Linked DNA regions of Arabidopsis thaliana. The protein of the gene in region 1 interacts with the protein of each later gene in a biochemical or structural test. Each region holds a gene or a part of one and is shown in the gene's direction. Other genes may lie near its edges.

Region 1 (4,198 bases):
TTGGAGAGCTCTTGCGCAGCCTTCTCTGCACCTTCACGGCTTGTGTATGTGACAAATGCACAGGCTTTATCGGCCAAGATTCTGATAGATTCAATTTCTCCATGAGCGTAGAATTGGTCTCGTATGTCCTGCTCGAGAATTCTCGAGTTAAGTCCACCGACGTAAAGGGTTTTGATGCTTTCATCGTCTGGCGATTCCAAAGTGCCCATCTCACCAGCTTTGCCAAGCAACTTCATAGCAACTGGATCATTAACACTGAAAACGTGTAAAAGAAAATGAGAAACAGTTAAAACAAACTCTTCAACAAGAATAAATGCAAAAGTACTAATACATTACAAAGAGAACTAAAACTGGAAACGACACTATGTAACAAGACTACATGAGAGCCAACATAGCATAGTTCAGTCCAAGAATTCACATATCAGAAGCTTTCAAATATCGAGTATATTATGAATGATCAAGGAGAAAATAGTACTATGGCAGAAACATATGAAATTTTACACTCCTTAGGGGAGGTATCGAAACAACCAATAAAGAACGGAACTAAACGTCAACAAAGTCAAACATACAGAAGAAAAAAGCTTACCCATAATAACGGTCTTTTATGTTTTGCTGGGATAGCTCTCCTGTTTCGGGCATCTCATGCCGGTATGGACATTCAGCACCTCTTGTACACTCACCCCTGATGAAGAAACTACAAACATGTGCTCGGTTCCTCTTATAGTACGGTGTTGTTCTTTGAAGCTTTAAAATAGTATCATTGGGTCGCATCTTCCCGAATGAAGATTCATAATCCAGTCCAGCTCTAGCCTACATAACAGAAAAAGCAAAATCACTTAGATAAGCCACCATGAGAAAGCTAGAGTAAGTCTTCAAAATTCTCAAACCAACAAATGCTGAAATAAAATCGTGAGTGTGAACATGATCATACCTTCCTGTCATGCTCTTCAGCAAAATACTCTCTGTTGACATCACTTTTAGGGATAGAGTCATGAGTACTAATGTTGAGTGCTGTGTCTCTTACTTGAACTGGAAGACCATACTCAAGATCCAGAAGACAGACTTGACAAACATTTTTCAACTTGCAGCAAGTCTGACAAATTTCGGTTTTCTTGTATCTAGCATCCCGGCCAGGTCGCCACCTAAACACCGTGAAAGGTCGTGTACATATCTTGCATTCCTTATCATAATTCGCTTTGGTCTACATATCAACAGATAAAACGTCAATCAGAAATCAAAACATCGAGATTTTCAGAAAACAAAATTGCAGCTGAAAGCTAAGAGAATCCGCAGCTGTAATCAAATCCAACTATAACTAAACGAATTTGGATGTAAAACCCAATTTTTCGATGAATTTGATAACAAGCTAAACCCTAAAACCATATTTACTAAGTTAACCACTCCAATATACAGAAAACATCAACGAGCAAGAGACTGGTTAAGAGATGAGATCCGGAAATAAGATTCAGGAGCCATTGAAACAAAACAAGCAATAGCAAAATCCAAGAATGTTTGAGAGAAGGAATCGAGAAATCACCATTCGCACGTAGGGGTTGTCACCGAGACAAGATTCGCAGATGATTGGGAAATCGGAGCGTTCCCATCCATCGGCTTCATGATCTCTCAGTATTCTGTGAGCCATTCTCTTATCCTCTGATTCGATTAGTCGATATCAAATCTCGAACACGAAGGAGACGACGAGATTTTAACTAGGGCAAAGTCGGTTTTGGATTCGCGTGTTTTTGTCTTTTAAATATTACAAATAAAACCCTAAACTTTCACTACAATTCGAAATGAACTTTTCTTCTTTTTATTAATACAAATTAACCCTCTAACTTTTATAATGACCAAAAATATCCATCCAATTCTTAAAACGATTGAGGCCGGCACTAGCGCATTGGCGGGAACCAAATAGCTTAGAATGGCGAAATCCCGCCAGAAAAGAAAAAGCTTATAAATCGGACTCCTTGACCTTATAGTGTCAATCCACTTTCCAAAATAGCCGCAAACGATTCTCATTGTGAACTCTGATAATATCTAAGACGACGAAATGTTGGAGCTACGTCTTGTTCAGGGCTCGTTGTTGAAGAAGGTTCTAGAATCAATCAAAGATCTGGTGAACGATGCGAATTTCGACTGCTCCAGCACTGGGTTCTCACTCCAAGCTATGGATTCGAGTCACGTTGCTCTGGTGTCTCTCTTGCTAAGATCCGAAGGCTTCGAACACTACAGATGCGACAGGAATCTCTCCATGGGGATGAATCTCGGCAACATGTCGAAGATGCTCAAATGCGCCGGAAATGATGACATCATCACCATCAAGGCTGATGACGGCGGCGACACCGTTACCTTCATGTTTGAGAGCCCCAGTAAGTTTATTTGCTAATTGACTGACTTACTCTAATTTCTGGTTTCTATGGGTTAAGCTTGTACGAAATGGTGGAATGATTGATGGAATAGAATGATTTAGTTCTCTTAGGGGTTGTATATAGTTTCAAGTTTCAAAAACTTGGTTTAGACCTAGCTGCTTTTAACTTGGTTTTGTGTTGGATGATTTACAGCGCAAGACAAGATTGCTGATTTTGAGATGAAGTTGATGGATATAGACAGTGAACATCTGGGAATACCTGATGCTGAGTACCACTCAATCGTGAGGATGCCTTCCAATGAGTTTTCCAGGATTTGCAAAGATCTCAGTAGCATTGGTGACACAGGTACATTGCTGCATTGTTTCTATTCTCAATCTGGGTTGTTTTTTTTAGTCTAAATAGAGATTGACCTGATGTTATTGTTGCAGTTGTGATCTCTGTGACTAAAGAAGGCGTGAAGTTTTCTACTGCCGGTGACATTGGAACCGCTAACATTGTGCTCAGGCAGAACACAACTGTAGACAAGGTATTAACATGTCTAACTCTTTGCATAAACCTATGATACTGTTGACAAATCCTCTACGGCTGTTTCATTGGAGTAACATGTTAAATTGAGGCTTTTGTTTTGTGTATTGCAGCCGGAAGATGCAATTGTGATAGAGATGAAGGAGCCAGTGTCTCTCTCATTTGCCCTGAGGTACATGAATTCCTTCACAAAGGCAACTCCATTGTCAGACACAGTGACAATCAGCTTATCGTCGGAGTTGCCAGTGGTTGTGGAGTATAAGGTTGCTGAGATGGGTTACATTCGTTACTACTTGGCTCCTAAGATTGAAGAAGAAGAAGACACTAATCCCTAAGACCCCTTTTATATCCACAATTTCTCTTCATTCTAAAATGTTGAAGATTTATTGACAATGTTGGTGTTTTTTTTTGGTGAGATTCCTTTGTATCCCCCCTCTAGAATCAGTTGTTTTCTTGACTTATTATGTTTTATGATAACAAAGTTCAGCAAAATTAGTTGTCTTGAAACTATGACCATTCATCAACAAACTAACTCCACTTTGCAAGATAATTTATACACTAACACAACCGTAGTTGCCTATACCTGGATACTTAAACTGTATGTGAACATTGACATGAAAAGGTATATTGGATTCCATTAGACTTCTCAACATCAGTTCTTTGACACCATTCTGTACTCTCTGGCTACATTTGTGTAGTACATGCAAGTGCACAAGACAGTGCATCAGGTAAACCTAGTATAATACAAGTTTACTATGTATCTACTTTGGTTTCTACTTGTTTATGTTACAACGAAAGCACTAGAAGAGCCTGTGAAATGATGGACTGACCCAAAAAGCTTCTTTGCAGCACCAAAATGGGTGATCCTATAAACCCCTGGTGATGCAGACTCGGGAATTCTCCATTCCACAGTGGCCTGACTCCGGGAGCTCAGCTTTTTATGCCTCGACCACTTGAACCTCAGACATAGATCATCGTCGTCATAAACCGGGGTCCAAGTCTTGTCCTTCTGCTCTAGTCTCTCCACCAGTGTAAACGTCCCTGTCATGAACATAGTATCTCTTCTTAGCATCAAAGTATGACAAGTCACTTATTTTGAAAGGATCCATCACTAAGAAGTAGACATAAGCATATGCAATTTTAGAAATTTATGAGCAATAATAACCCATGAGAAATTCACGTCAGCAAGAATAGTTAGTATTTCAATATTTTCACTTTTAAAAGCTCACAGTTTTGCATCAACGCGACTATGCTCCATGGTTAAGGTTATTATCCTTCATCACAGAATTAGAGAAAAAGGGACA
Region 2 (7,845 bases), on another chromosome or scaffold:
AGCAAGCTCCAATCAATGCACCTGCAGATGGCAATGCAACAAAACCCCCGAATTGTTATCCACTAAAATATGGGATAATGGGAGACCTAAAACAAGTTTCACCTAAACTATGAATAAGAGGCTTATATTGCAGTCCCTGTACAGCCATAGGCCTTTTTCTCCCAGCTGTTATAAAAGGTTTGTTGCATGTATGCATACATAAGATAACAATGTATATTTTTACTAGCTTGAAAAATAATGTCAGCAGTTCTGCTTCCTTGAAATTCAGATATCCAACAAATTAATTTTACTGTTTCACAGAAATAACTCGGAATATATGAAAGTTAACTAGAAACATCTCCAAGAAGAAACAAAGAAATATCTGTTGAAAACTGTAAATGACAAGAGTTGTATGTGCTTACCTCAAGCATTTTGAAGCCACTTCAGACCCTTCTGAGGAGAGTCTCTCAAGATGACCTTTCAGTGCCCGCATCAAGGCAACATGAACGGCATCCAACAAAGAATTAGGTCCTAAAAAATTTAAAGCTCCCACAAAATCATCCAATCCAAATGGGCAGATATATAACTGAACACTGAATGATCTTAAGAACCCATATACAGATAATAGATACACCACAGCCTCCTCAGGGATACCAATTGTTCCTGATGAAGAAGGCAACTCCACTGGTGGAACAAGAGGAGACATACTTTCGAAATCTGGATCTATGTCATCTTCACACTCAGGCAAACCACAAGATGAATAACCACTTTCAACTTCTGCCACAGAACTTGGGCTATTACATGTGGGCACCTCAACTCCTTTGTTCTTCAGGCAATCTGTTTTCTTCTTTTCGTCCTTCTTCAGAATAAAGTCGTCTAATTTACTCCTTCTAGCACGTAATTCATCATCAAAGTAACTATCCCCAATAATTAACTGGCGAAGATAACAAGTTTCCAAATCCTCAAAATCACCATCCTCATATTCAACTCTGTACAACCCAGTATTGTAAGAAACTATCTTCCCAAGAAAAACTCCACTGTCATCAACATCTTTCAACACATAACGACCAAGAAGAGATCTAGGTACAGCCACTTTCACCTCGAAAACCGGCCTCTTCCCTCGATTAGATACCCCATTAAGATCCTCTGGTCTGGGGCGTTTCCTTGGTCTACCTCTAGGTTTAGCCACCTTTCCTTCCATCAGATCCAAATCAATCCCCAGATTTCAATTCTCGTTTATCCCTTTCTATGATTCCAAAAATCTAACTTCTTTTTATAAAATCGAACCATATACCCACATCAAAATCTAAGATCCACCGATAAATCTGAAGCAAAAGAAATCAAATTCAAAGCTGAAGCAAAAGAAATCAAAGCCGTGATCCAGCGATAAATCTGAAATCTTTTCACGTCTGAGCTTGGAAATGGATAAACATATGGACAGAATTGAAGCTAAAACCTTGCTAGATTTTGATAACCACCACCATCAATGAAGCATATGGACAGAGAGCTTACGTAACCAAAAGAGAGAGACATAGAAATAAAAAAGATGAGCTTTTTCAATCGTGTCGAATGGTTCTACTACACTTCTCACTTCTGAGTTAATGGCAGATTTTTGTGGTCTAATTGTTAAACTGAGTTCAACTCGGGATGCGGGTTACCCGGATCTAGACCCGTTAGGGATTTTAAAACGTCACCGTTTTTGAATTTACCTTTCTATTTTCATCACTTGAATAAAAAAAACAATATAATGGCGGGAATTTGAGAGACTCGTCGCTAATTTACGCGCGTTTCTCGGGTCCGGCAGATTTCGTACGCCGTCGTCGTCGATCTACTTCAATTTCTATAATTCGCCACTGTACTACATTGGGGTTTTCTTTTTCCGGCGTTCTTTAGCCACAAGCTCACTGAATTTTCAGTAAAGTTTCAAAATTTCCCTGGAAAATTGTAGGATTAGGGTTTTGGAAATGGGAACGAAAGTCTCAGACGATCTTGTTTCCACCGTCAGATCAGTCGTGGGTTCCGATTACTCAGATATGGATATAATCAGGGCTTTACACATGGCGAATCATGATCCAACGGCTGCTATCAATATAATCTTCGACACTCCAAGTTTCGCCAAACCTGATGTAGCCACTCCTACCCCGAGCGGCTCTAATGGAGGGAAGCGAGTTGATAGTGGATTAAAGGGCTGTACTTTTGGTGACAGCGGAAGTGTTGGAGCGAATCATCGCGTGGAGGAAGAAAATGAGAGTGTTAATGGTGGAGGAGAAGAGAGTGTTTCAGGGAATGAGTGGTGGTTTGTTGGTTGTTCTGAATTGGCTGGGTTATCGACATGTAAAGGAAGGAAATTGAAGTCTGGTGATGAATTGGTGTTCACGTTTCCGCATAGTAAAGGATTAAAGCCTGAGACTACGCCTGGGAAGCGCGGTTTTGGGCGGGGAAGGCCAGCTTTGCGTGGTGCTTCTGATATCGTTAGGTTCTCTACAAAGGATTCAGGAGAGGTGTGTTTCACATCTTTTTTATTTGCTATGTTAAGTTTGTTAGATGGGAATTGTTAACTAACTATGATGGGCTCTTGTGGTAGATTGGTAGAATACCAAACGAGTGGGCTCGGTGTCTTCTACCACTTGTGAGAGACAAGAAAATTAGGATAGAAGGCAGTTGCAAGTCGGCGCCTGAAGCTTTGAGCATCATGGATACAATTCTTCTGTCTGTAAGGTATGCATACAAAACTTTTGTGTTCCCGTTTACAATTTCAGGATAGATGCATTAGTGTTTGAAGTGGTGTGAGTTTGTTTTTGAAACAGCGTGTACATTAATAGTTCCATGTTTCAAAAGCATAGTGCGACTTCATTTAAGACAGCTAGTAATACGGCAGAGGAATCAATGTTCCATCCTCTCCCAAATCTCTTTCGGTTACTCGGTTTGATCCCCTTTAAGAAGGTAATGGTTATTCCTTGCCTATAACTTGATATGCGGATTCTTTTATAGATTGCAGTTTGTAGTTCCCATATACTTCTCATATGATGTGACTGAATAATCTTGAGATGACGAAGAAATTTTTCCATTCTTCATCATATTTAGGCAGAGTTTACTCCAGAGGATTTTTACTCTAAGAAGCGACCTTTGAGTTCCAAGGTAAATATTACTTATTATATTAGCATCTTAAAATTTGACTTCTTGCCTGTAAAATTTGTCATTTGCTCTCTGCCCTATGGAAATAGGATGGTTCTGCTATTCCTACTTCGTTGCTTCAATTAAACAAGGTCAAGAATATGAATCAAGATGCAAACGGAGATGAAAATGAGCAGTGTATCAGCGATGGTGATCTTGATAACATTGTTGGTGTTGGGGACAGTTCTGGATTAAAGGTATTCTCATTTTCAAGACTTCTTGCTTACTTATATCCAACACTGGAAATTTCCTTTGGAAAATTGCATGAAAATTTTTGCAACAGGAAATGGAAACTCCACATACACTTCTGTGTGAGCTTCGTCCATACCAAAAGCAGGCACTTCATTGGATGACCCAACTGGAGAAAGGAAATTGCACTGATGAGGCAGCAACAATGCTTCACCCGTGTTGGGAAGCATACTGTTTAGCAGACAAGTGAGTGATATTTCTATTGCCTTCGAACTTTAGTGCGAGTCAGATAAGATATTTACTATCTGTTTTATGTCAATAGGAGGGAACTGGTTGTCTACCTGAATTCTTTTACTGGTGATGCTACAATACACTTCCCTAGCACACTTCAAATGGCAAGAGGAGGAGTATGATCTCAATACCCCACCTATAAAAATTTCTTTCATTTATTGTTTAGATTTTGTCACTTTATTATATAGCTGTTTTGTAATAATATTATATCCTAAAACTTTTGTAGATATTAGCAGACGCAATGGGTCTTGGAAAGACTGTAATGACCATATCCCTTTTGCTTGCCCATTCTTGGAAAGCTGCATCAACTGGGTTTCTATGCCCCAACTATGAAGGAGACAAAGTGATCAGCAGTTCTGTAGATGATCTCACTAGTCCCCCGGTGAAGGCAACCAAATTTCTAGGCTTTGATAAGAGGCTTCTTGAACAAAAAAGTGTACTTCAAAATGGTGGTAACCTGATTGTATGTCCGATGACACTTTTAGGACAGTGGAAGGTATTCCATGCTTAATGCACGTGCACACTATAGTTTGGTTATCCGTCAAAGTTGTTAATTGTTCTTTGTCTTTCCTTGTGTCAGCTAATATTTTCTTGCTCCTGCTTTATGATCAGACAGAGATTGAAATGCATGCAAAGCCTGGGTCTCTATCTGTCTATGTTCACTATGGGCAAAGCAGGCCGAAGGATGCAAAACTTCTTTCCCAGAGTGATGTGGTAATCACCACATATGGAGTTCTAACATCCGAATTCTCGCAAGAGGTATCTTTCATACAAGAGTCTTCGGGTCATGGATTATTCCATGTATATAGTTTATAAAAGCATCACATGAACATTTTCTTATCTTCTCTCGTTTTTCTTCTTCTTAGAACTCAGCAGACCATGAAGGAATTTATGCAGTTCGATGGTTTAGGATTGTTCTTGACGAGGCACATACCATCAAAAACTCAAAAAGCCAAATTTCCTTGGCTGCTGCAGCTCTGGTTGCTGATAGGCGTTGGTGTCTTACGGGTACTCCTATTCAGGTGATTGGTCTTTTTGTCTAGGGTTTAGAAAGAAAATCTTTGTTCTTGACCGTCCTATAGACCAAACTTTATTAGGACACTGCCATTCTATCTATGGAAGAATTTTAGTAGTTGGACATTTGTTATTCACCTGAGTTTCGAATGGTCTAAATCTCTGTTAGAAGGATATCAACTTGTTGTGCATGATTTATTGTACACAAGTCTCGACTTTATCTCACAAAGTTGTCTTTGAAGATTTATTTCATATGGCTTGCAATTTTGGTATCCATATGTCTGCTGGCATGATATCTTGGTTCATTCAAATGGATGGTGAATAGTAATTTTTTGTCCTATTTGGAACTTTGTGATCATTTCACATGTTATCTTATTGACAGAACAATCTGGAGGATTTATACAGCCTTCTACGGTTTTTGAGGATTGAACCATGGGGAACTTGGGCATGGTAAGGGTCCTTATCTATCTTTGGTTGGAAACACATAACGTTTGGTATGGAATTACTTGAAGCTTTTTAATTTGGAACATATTTTATTCTTAGGTGGAATAAACTTGTCCAAAAGCCATTTGAAGAGGGTGATGAGAGAGGGTTAAAGCTAGTGCAGTCTATCTTAAAACCTATCATGCTTAGGAGAACAAAGTCTAGCACAGACCGAGAAGGAAGGTAGGAATACTACAAATAATAGATTACTGTATAACTTCCTGTGCTTATAAAACATAATATTTTCCTTTGAGTTTCCTCGGTTAATTTGAAGCTTGTTTGTTTATTTTAGGCCGATTCTTGTTCTACCCCCTGCTGATGCACGGGTCATTTACTGTGAACTTTCGGAGTCTGAGAGGGATTTCTACGACGCGCTATTTAAAAGATCCAAGGTATTGTTTTCCTTAGGATTATTTACTCGAACTTTAGTTATTAAGATGCCTTATACTGAAGATGCTGACGGATCTTTTTCAGGTCAAATTTGATCAATTTGTTGAACAAGGCAAAGTTCTTCATAACTATGCTTCGATCCTGGAACTGCTTTTGCGTCTTCGACAATGTTGTGATCACCCATTTTTAGTAATGAGGTGTGGCTTTTACTGGCTTTTTATTTAGTATAGATACACATTGCTGGGTTTAACTTCCATGGCTACTTAATCTGTTGCATGACGTTGTATAAAATATCCAATAACATATCGTAGATAATGGCAATTTGGTATAAGAAACATGCATCCGTAGCCCTTGTTTCTGTTTGACATTTTGTTGACGCAATTGCCATATTTCTTATAACAGTCTCTTGTTTTTCTTGCATCCAGTCGAGGGGATACAGCGGAATACTCTGATCTGAATAAGCTTTCTAAACGTTTCCTTAGTGGAAAGTCTTCTGGCTTAGAAAGGGAAGGAAAAGATGTACCGTCAGAGGCTTTTGTTCAGGAGGTGGTAGAGGAACTGCGCAAAGGAGAGCAAGGAGAGTGTCCAATATGCCTTGAAGCACTTGAGGATGCTGTATTAACGCCATGTGCTCATAGATTATGTCGTGAGTGTCTCTTGGCAAGTTGGAGAAATTCTACTTCTGGGTTATGTCCTGTGTGTAGGTATCTTGAAGTTGTTCCTGCGATTACTAGTTTTCTTCTGTTGTTGATTCCAATGAGTGTCTGAGTAAGGTCTAATTTGGCAAATAATGAATGATGAATCGTTTTTTTCAGGAACACTGTAAGCAAACAAGAACTCATCACAGCACCAACCGAAAGTAGATTCCAGGTTGACGTGGAAAAGAATTGGGTGGAATCATCGAAAATCACTGCTCTTCTGGAAGAGCTTGAAGGTCTTCGTTCTTCAGGCTCTAAGAGCATTCTCTTTAGCCAGTGGACCGCTTTCCTCGATCTCCTCCAAATTCCCCTCTCTCGGTATACCATTGTTGGCTTGCTATGGTAGTTATGAGAATAAATTGTTTTTAAGAATCTAAATTATAGCACAATTTTATCTCCAGGAATAACTTTTCATTTGTCCGTCTTGATGGCACGCTAAGTCAGCAGCAACGAGAGAAGGTCCTTAAAGAATTTTCCGAAGATGGCAGTATCCTGGTTGGTGCAGTCGCATTACATTGCAATGTTCAATACTTATACTTTCTAGTTTCGAAATTGAAGTTAAAAAGTCTCCTTTTCAATTGTTGGATAGGTACTGTTGATGTCTCTAAAAGCTGGTGGCGTTGGGATAAATCTAACAGCTGCGTCCAATGCTTTTGTCATGGTATGGAATATCTATAGATATCTATGAAAGATCATATCAGTTTCTATAGGATTTAGACCATGTAATAGCTCATCCAAAATATGAAAATCGAGTAGTAGTTCATGCCACCTTTTGTTTCAAAAGCTTGTGAATGAGTACTGCACAATACAAAATAGGTTTTAAAGAAGTTTCAGTTGTAAAGAAAACCAAGTTATGTCCTATAGGATCCATGGTGGAACCCAGCGGTAGAGGAACAAGCTGTTATGCGTATTCATCGTATAGGGCAAACTAAGGAAGTCAAAATCAGAAGATTCATCGTTAAGGTACCCTCTTCTTTCTCAGCAGTTAGTCCCCATTAACCATATAAAGACCAATCACTGAAACTATTCCAAAATCAGAAAATGTTGTTGCTGAGTAATGATCATTAGAAACTTGTATGTCTTGCCTTTGTGAATCCTAGGGAACGGTTGAAGAGAGAATGGAGGCGGTTCAGGCGAGGAAGCAGAGAATGATCTCTGGGGCTTTAACCGATCAAGAAGTACGAAGTGCACGTATAGAGGAACTCAAGATGTTATTTACCTGAAACTATAGAAACTGTTCTCAAGCCTGAAGTCGATCATACAATTCTACATATATGGGAAACTTGTCACACTATATGCAAGGAGAATCAGAGATTATAACGCATCTAAAAACGGGTTTTGTTCTTTTCAAGAGATATGATGGACAATTGTCACAGTTTTGGGGAATGTGCAGTGAGAGTTCCCAAGTGTACCATAAGCCTATCTGGGTTTTGTTGTTTTGTAATGGAAATCAGATTGTTTTTTGTACTTTTTCATTTATAATGAACTGTAACTTTATACTATTATATAGTTAACTCAATATGACAAATTTGCACAGTGAAAAGGCTTAAGGATTACTTTAAAAATCTAGAAAATGTGACACTTTTACATAACATGTTCCTGTGATCTTCTTTTCCTTTGTTAAGAT

Evidence for each region.
Region 2: of the proteins of PCNA1 (region 1) and RAD5, one has a biochemical effect on the other in vitro, tested with the Arabidopsis thaliana proteins (one study listed by BioGRID).

Annotation. Positions count from the first base shown.
Region 1 is NC_003070.9:2,261,154-2,265,351, forward strand, and holds PCNA1 (proliferating cellular nuclear antigen 1), read left to right. Parts: upstream 1-1,883; 5' UTR 1,884-2,050; coding exon 2,051-2,369; intron 2,370-2,561; coding exon 2,562-2,714; intron 2,715-2,797; coding exon 2,798-2,895; intron 2,896-3,007; coding exon 3,008-3,229; 3' UTR 3,230-3,400; downstream 3,401-4,198. Other genes in the region: MAC5A (CCCH-type zinc fingerfamily protein with RNA-binding domain-containing protein), read right to left, coding at 1-255, 587-810, 932-1,201, 1,538-1,642; AT1G07380 (Neutral/alkaline non-lysosomal ceramidase), read right to left, coding at 3,676-3,935. UniProt on the Arabidopsis thaliana protein: This protein is an auxiliary protein of DNA polymerase delta and is involved in the control of eukaryotic DNA replication by increasing the polymerase's processibility during elongation of the leading strand.
Region 2 is NC_003076.8:7,564,970-7,572,814, reverse strand, and holds RAD5 (DNA/RNA helicase protein), read left to right. Parts: upstream 1-1,705; 5' UTR 1,706-1,943; coding exon 1,944-2,480; intron 2,481-2,563; coding exon 2,564-2,697; intron 2,698-2,786; coding exon 2,787-2,922; intron 2,923-3,063; coding exon 3,064-3,117; intron 3,118-3,203; coding exon 3,204-3,350; intron 3,351-3,436; coding exon 3,437-3,588; intron 3,589-3,664; coding exon 3,665-3,749; intron 3,750-3,859; coding exon 3,860-4,129; intron 4,130-4,245; coding exon 4,246-4,392; intron 4,393-4,499; coding exon 4,500-4,655; intron 4,656-5,029; coding exon 5,030-5,097; intron 5,098-5,190; coding exon 5,191-5,313; intron 5,314-5,422; coding exon 5,423-5,522; intron 5,523-5,604; coding exon 5,605-5,717; intron 5,718-5,945; coding exon 5,946-6,224; intron 6,225-6,335; coding exon 6,336-6,536; intron 6,537-6,619; coding exon 6,620-6,713; intron 6,714-6,807; coding exon 6,808-6,879; intron 6,880-7,082; coding exon 7,083-7,181; intron 7,182-7,318; and 3 more. Other genes in the region: AT5G22760 (PHD finger family protein), read right to left, coding at 1-21, 402-1,180. UniProt on the Arabidopsis thaliana protein: Functions in error-free postreplication DNA repair or DNA-damage tolerance (DTT) pathway. Required for homologous recombination (HR) induced by DNA double-strand break (DSB) in somatic cells.